2 linked regions of the Coturnix japonica genome follow. The protein of the gene in region 1 interacts with the protein of each later gene in a pairwise test. Links are inferred from orthologs where the notes say so. Each region holds a gene or a part of one and is shown on either strand. Other genes may lie near its edges.

The links.
Region 2: the proteins of BAG4 (region 1) and ALG13 interact in binary tests that used the Homo sapiens proteins (3 or more experiments, as listed by UniProt). The link is inferred for Coturnix japonica from reciprocal best matches to the Homo sapiens genes BAG4 and ALG13.

Annotation. Positions count from the first base shown.
Region 1 is NC_029537.1:3,645,543-3,649,864, reverse strand, and holds BAG4 (BAG family molecular chaperone regulator 4), read right to left. Parts: upstream 3,023-4,322; coding exon 2,801-3,022; intron 2,724-2,800; coding exon 2,643-2,723; intron 2,432-2,642; coding exon 2,198-2,431; intron 1,881-2,197; coding exon 1,656-1,880; intron 1,344-1,655; coding exon 837-1,343; 3' UTR 71-836; downstream 1-70. Other genes in the region: U6 snRNA-associated Sm-like protein LSm1, read left to right, coding at 3,021-3,066, 3,206-3,274, 3,830-3,945, 4,016-4,186. UniProt on the Homo sapiens protein: Inhibits the chaperone activity of HSP70/HSC70 by promoting substrate release. Prevents constitutive TNFRSF1A signaling. Negative regulator of PRKN translocation to damaged mitochondria.
Region 2 is NC_029519.1:12,426,474-12,429,374, forward strand, and holds part of ALG13 (putative bifunctional UDP-N-acetylglucosamine transferase and deubiquitinase ALG13), read right to left. Parts: intron 1,058-2,901; coding exon 1,017-1,057; intron 263-1,016; coding exon 82-262; intron 1-81. UniProt on the Homo sapiens protein: Catalytic subunit of the UDP-N-acetylglucosamine transferase complex that operates in the biosynthetic pathway of dolichol-linked oligosaccharides, the glycan precursors employed in protein asparagine (N)-glycosylation.

The sequences.
Region 1 (4,322 bases):
AGCTCAGCAACCTGGACACAACATCCCCTTAAAAAGAAGAAGAAGAGACTTAAGGATTTAATTACAAAACAACATTTAAAAGTCATCAGGGTTTATTATGATCTCATTACACGCAGCAATGATTCGCTTTGCATGTCGTAACCAGGTTCACCCAGTAGGCGTTACAATTAAAAAGTGGATTTGACCCACGCGACCTGAAAAAGCATTTTCTGCACCTCCCACTGTCCAGGGCTGCACGGCTCTGCCTGCAACTGGCTTTTCCAGGTGAAAAACTCAGAGTTCCAGGCTATGTTCCCACATCCACACGGCATCACAGAACAGCTTCACATCAGCAGAGCTACAGGGAGCGCATTGGAAACAAAAAGAGAACCCCGGGATGACACAAACCAGCTTTTGTGGGTAAGGGATCTGAAGCTGAAAGCACACGCACTGATGGACCTTCATTTATGGTGATGCATGTGACAAGTGCTGCAGCTGTGGCTCCACGAGGTACCATGGATTTGGGTGGATTTGGACCCGGTTTGGGGAACTTTGTGCAGTGATTTTCTTCTTGCTGGATGAAGGACACAGACAACCCAGTGCTAAACACCTTCAGGTGGTGCTGCTTCTTCACATCCCAGAGCAAACAACTCAATTTGCTGCTTTCATCTTCTCTTCATTGGTCCAATGCTGAGCTGTTGGTCGGGGCTGGGCTTTCCTGTGGGTTTAGGGTTGTTTCTTCTTTTCAATCAAGTCTTATTGCTTTCTCATTATCAGTAGTGCTTAGCAGAAAGAGCTGAGATTTGGATTAACTCTTTGGAACCTCCACAACAGGCTGCATTGTGGCTGATTTGCTTTCACAATCCTTTCCTTTCCAGTTTTTCCAGTATGGCCTGAATTCTATGGACAGCTTCTTTCCTGGCCTGTCGGACACCATCCTGCCCACCAGTCTCAATGGAATCCAGTTCTAACAGCAGCTTGGTCAGCATCTCCTCCAGAAGCCTGTAGGATTTATCTGTCTTTTTCCCTACAAATTCATCCACCTCTTGTTCTAACTCTTCAGCCTGCTCTGTGACCTGTAGGATCCTCTGTATCTCTGGCTGGATGGCTGCAGAATTCATTGCAGTGTGATTGCCAGCTTTGCAACCTGCCTCCTGGTTCCCAGCCAGCTGCCTCCGAGTTGCACTGTTGTACATCTGGGGCTGTGCACTGTATTGTACCTTGGGGTTGGAGGGAGATGACTTGGAGTTATGCAGCAGGGAGGGTGGTTTGTGGTCATTCATTGTCCCAGGGTGCTGGTGATTGCTGTCAGAATAGTAGCAGTGTTGGTTTGCACTCGGATCAGGTTTGTCATAAGCAGATTCCTACAATCAGAAGGGGAAAAAAAAGAGTCTACATTACAGAGGCATTAAATGAGATCTGCTCCACTTCAAGACCCGCCTCTCAGGGTCTGCTATCTCCAGTGCTTTCTTCAATGGCAGTTTGGATATATAAGCAGGTGATTTTGCTGGCAGTACTTAGAACCGCTGCTTTGTTTTTGTCTCCTGGAAGCAAACTGTGCTTGGAGAAAGGAGCACTGAGCAGCTGCATGTGTGTATTGCGGGGGAAGGCAGCATGAGCTGAGCTCTGGCTACAGCCAGAATCTTTGTGTCAGAGCCATTAAAGCATCACTGTACCTTCGAGTCCCACACAGGAGGATGAGCTGCAGTCCTGCTGCCAGTCCAGGGTGGTTGTGATTCAGAGAGGAATGGATTCCCATGTGCTGGAGCTGCAGGCCATGCATACCGTGCCTGCACCCCATAGTGAGGGGGAGCCCACGCCTCCTCCTGAGCCCTGGGCTGTGGGTTGGCCCCGGGGCTGTGGTCTCCATATGGATACTGAGGAACGGGCATCCCTGGGGTCTGTGGGGAGAGGGGGACAGATGTAAGTCCTAAGTCAGCTCCCAATGCCTGTGGCAGAAGGAAGCTCTGGGATGAGCCCCAGCACTGGGATGAGCCCCAGCACTGGGACTGCTGCTGCTTTCTGCTCCAAAGCTCGTGACCTCAGAGCTCCCAGCAGAAAGGGGCAACTCCAAGTTCTTACAAGAGCAAGCAGGGCGAGCTGGGTGGGACATAGAAGCCATTTGGGCCCAATTAGGGTGCACTGTGGGTTCACCCTCTATGGGGTGAGCAGCACAGGAGCTCTCGCTTTGCTGTGCACACCCTAAATGGTTTCTTACCTGCGGTGGGGAATACCCAGCAGCCTTTTGCCTGCGCATTGAGCATCCCTCTGCTGGGCAGTCCTGTGTGCCACAGCCCCAGGGAGGGGCAGGAGGGGGGGGTCGATATGGGGCTGAGCTGTCGGTGCTGTAGGATGGACCTGAAGTGCTGTAGGTTCGTGTTTGTGGCAGTGAGGTGTAATGGGGAGGGTATGGGGCGCTGTAGGATCCGTTGGTGTAGGGTGAGTCCATAGCCTGGGGAGGAGAAAAGGGAAAAAGAGAAAGAAAATGAGCTGAAATGTGTGTTAGGATATTTAATGGGTTATTTCTGTACTGAGCTGTAGGAAACAAGTGGGGCTTGAAGCCCATTGTATCCTATGGCATAGAAATGAAGCACAGCTCGGTCAAAGCCTTAATGGACGGGAGGGGGATGGAAATGGACCCTCATCCCCCAAACCCAACATACCGAGTCCGCTCCGTCGGTGTAGGCCCCAAAACCGAACGCTGGGCTCCAATAACCGGGGTTGAAGCCGGGGCCTGGTGGCTCCTATAAGGAAAAACCCCATTATATGGAGCAGTGATAACGGGATAACGGGCTGTGCTCGGTTCCCCCCCCCCCTTTACCTGCCCGGTACGACCGCGGTGCTCCATGTTTTCAACCCGGCACGCTGTAGCCCACCCCACAGCGCGACACAAGGATAAAAGGCCCCCACCATGCGACCAATAGGATGCGAGGACCCCTGGATGTAACCAATGAAAGGCAGCCCCGCTCGCACTACCGGCGCCGCTTTTAAAGGGACAGTGCATCGCTAAGTACCGCCCAACGTGGGGCGGTTCCGCCACCATGAACTACATGCCGGGTACTGCAAGCCTCATCCAGGACATTGACAGTGAGTGTGACCGAGGTTCTATTCATTCAATAAGGAACCAAGGGGAAAACCGGGACCCGGACGCGGGGGACCCCGGTTTTCCCCTTGGTTCCCATTGGGACCGATGTTCCGTACCCCCGCTTGATCCCTTTCCCCATAGAGAAACACCTGGTTCTGCTGCGGGACGGCCGGACGCTGATCGGATTCCTACGCAGCATCGATCAGTTCGGTACGGATATAATGGGGGGGGATAGGGGGGGCAGCACCGGGAACGACACCGGATCAGGGCTTAATAGAACCCATATGGCTCCGATAGGAACCCAGTTTGTGGTTCCCCCATCCCTTGTCATGTTGGACCCCCACCCCATGTTATATTCCCCCCTTAGGGCAGCACTAAGTTCATCCCCCCATTGACTTGTGCCTATGGCTGAGCCCCCCAGTCTTTACCTCCCTTTACCCCTCTTCTCCCTACCCCCCTTTCCCCCCTTCCCCATTCACTTGTGCCTATAGCTGAGCCCCTCATTCTTTACCCTATAGCACCAGGGATCCCTTTATCAGCTATAGGTAGTGGCTGCTTTGGGGTCCTATAGTGGCTGGGTTTGGGGGATCATGTTGTTTAGGGGATGCTCAGCATATAGGATTATAGTGCTATAATGCAATCCAGCTGCTCCCTATGCTTTAGGCTATGGGTTGTTTCAGGTGAGGTGCTCTGTTTGGTGAAAAACTGGGTGGTTTTGGTAAAAAACTGGTTAAAAACGGGGTGTTTTTTTCTCTATCCCCACAGCCAACCTGGTGCTGCATCAGACAGTGGAGCGAATTCACGTGGGCAAGAAATATGGGGACATCCCTCGAGGGATCTTCGTTGTGAGAGGGGAGAACGTGGTGCTGCTGGGGGAGATTGTGAGTGAGCCCCGTGCCCTGCAGCCCCTCACCCTGCAGCTCTGCTTAACAACAGCTCTTTGCTTTGCAGGACCTGGAGAAGGAGAGCGACACGTTGCTGCAGCAGGTTTCCATCGAGGAGATCCTGGAGGAGCAAAGGTTGGAGCTGCAAGCCAAGCAGGAGTCGGAGAAGCTGAAGGTGCAGGCGTTGAAGGAGAGAGGCCTGGCGGTGCCCAGGGCTGACACGTTGGATGAGTACTGATGGGATGGCAATGCTGAGTGGTGCAGGCACTGAAATCATGGCTTCTGTTCCCCCTTGAGGGGAAAAAAGGAGTGATGGCAATGGGGAACCCTCGGAGGTAACTGGATGCTCCGGGGGGTGCAGCAATTTCTGTTCA
Region 2 (2,901 bases), on another chromosome or scaffold:
TCCTGTGGAGCAGCTGTAGTCTGAAAGCTATTACCTCACTTTTCACAATTTCTGTATGTGGTCTTATAGTCAAATACTAACCATTTGCAGGCACATCAAGGGGAACATGTTGGACCTCAGCTCGCCCAGCATCGTAGAGATGAGGTACCGACTGATCCATGACATGAGCTGGCTCAGGATATGCTGAATAAGCCTCCACAGATGATGCTGGTGGCACTGGCTGTACATAGACCATGGAATGCCAGTAACTCTGGTGATAGTACTTTGAGGAGAAAGACAACAAGAAAACAAGGTCAGGCATAGAACCACATAGTCTCCATCCCTCCTCCAAATCACCAGTAGTTTCATATCAAAGACAATGATGTTATATATGAAGGAGGAAAAAAAATAAAGCACACAGTGTCAGAAAATTTGCTGTAATAGCTCCAACTACCAACTCAGTTCTATCCTGTTTTATTAAGAGGGAGTTTGCCATATTCAAGGAGATTTTTCCATTTGTTCAGCTGAAGAATCTGGCACACTGCTGCTACTCCTCAGAGTTCCAGCACTGACACTGCCCGTGACTGCTGGTGCACAGACAACTGTTGCAGACAGTGCTCTTTAGCAGAGCAATGGTTCTCAAGGCAAAGGAATGGTGCTAACTGGTCTGAGCCGTGCATATCCTAGAGGACTCAAACCATCCATCTTCAAACAGCCTTTGATATCTCATCTAAGCAGACAAATTTTCCCAGTAGTTCCATTTTCCCCTTTACCCTCGCTGAGAGAATATTTATTCTTCATCCTTCACAAAAATCGGAGTAAACAACCAGACACACTAATGTGCTTTGCAATTTGAGTTAGAACGTTGTTCCTGACCTATACTTTAATCGCTTCCAAGCAAGCCTATATGTAATAATTGTCATCTACACAGTATGCACATTTAGCACACCTGGAAGTCTTAAATACATCAGTACACCTGTCAAGAAAAGCAGCAGTTTTTACAGGCAATTTACTGTACTCGCTTTAAAAGCACTTACTTGCAATCCCAGATTAAAATAATACTGCAAGACCTTCGTATCTGAAATTAAAGGATATGGCATTAAAGAGCAGATGAGCAAAAAGAGTTCTACACACATCCAGAACATTCTAAGTCATTTCAATAAGTAACTATCTTAGCATTATTTTTTCTTTAATGTTTTGAGGGTAAAGAATATATCTTGAGTTTAACTGGTTGTTATCAATATTGCATCTTTAAGTTAATCAAGTTAGATGTATGTACAATATACTGGACAACTTGCTCCCAGCAATCCAAGCAGCTTAAAGGAACTTTAAAAAGCATTGCCCAGCAGAACATGGCTTTCACAGTCTAAACAGTCCCAGAAGAGCGAAGCTGTTTAAAACCTTCCAGGTTTGCCACTGACAGCAGAGGAGAATCAAGCATGTTTTAAATACAGGATGCAGTACCAGAACCGTGCATAAGAAACTCCTTTCTCAGTCTTAAATAATGCCTTGTCTTAAAGGCTCAGGAAGGACAGACAGCAACAGGTTAGGTCTGATTTAGTACTGAGAGGACCTGAAAAATCAAAGCAGCAAAGCAGGGGAACAACTTGAGATAAACAAGGCAGTAAGGATTTCAACTCTGGGTTATACAGAAACTCTGGAAGCGTTGCTCTCTTCTTACCACCTCAGTTCTTCCCTCAACTACAGCCTCCAACTGACTTTCCTGCTTGCTACCCAGCTACTTTGCACACACACTTTCATAGCCCTGCTCTTCTATAGTACTGAGTATTGTTGTCTGCTGTAAGCAGGAATAAAATGGGAAATGCAAATCCCTATTTTGAAATGAATGAAGGACTGGTTCCTCTTCTGCCAATTCACACTCTTTTGCTGTTCAGCACATTGGAGAAGGCCACAATCCACTTAAACGCAAGAGAGGATCTGTGTGTGCTCTCCAAGAACAGCTAACAGCTCACTCCCAGAAGGGCTGCTGATTTGGCTCGGACATTAACCAGTTAAATATTAGAAATAACTGGAAGGCTCACCTAATTGTCAGCTTCTTAGTGTGTAGCCAAAACCGCATCTACCTTGGAAAGATGATTTTGTTAATCTGATTTTTCAATTGATTATGCAAATATATGCAAAACAAGCCTAAGAACTGAATGAAACAGCTGCTTCATAGCAGCAATAGAAGTGCAAAGGAGGAGCTGGGAAACTGAAGTGACCAACTGATAGAGGAAATACTGACGTCTGGGGAGTTCTGGAACAGGAGCCAGTACAGTAGGGGACCAGTTTCTGTTTATATTCCTCTTTCAGATGTCTAGAAATCAAGTCAGTCTTCAGTATAACAAAATGACAGTGTGAAATAACAGTTAAAGCCAGAAGAAGTTAACTGCCTTGGCATGAAAATATGAAGATCACGTTAACTACTGATACAATTTAATCTCATGGTACAGGAGGACAAAGTTCGCTGCTCAGTTGAATAGCTCAGATCAATCTTGAATGCTGCCACAGGAAAGGAGCACTCTCCAGGACACTCTAACAGCAAGCAGCCTTCTCAGCTGCTTCAAACAAGGTGAGAGTAAGATACCTAAGGTTGCTGTGTTAACAGAAGCCATTTCCCAAGCCCTAAACATCATTAAAAAGATTCAATCAACCCCGAGAACTGGAAAAAGAAACAACAAAAAGAAACTGGAGTCTATCCCCAGAAGGCCATGGCCAGCATTATGATGAGCTGAAGAGCTGCAGGCAAGGGTCTGAAGAGGTTATTAATCCACATCCACTCCAGATTCTTGTCAGTACGCTTAACACCCAATTCTCCCAAGGGCTGAAAGCCTCAGTAAAGGGCATTTAACTGAAGCGGAAGACAATTAACTCTGGTGTGTACATAGAATAATCTACAGTAGTACTACTGCAGTGGGGAAA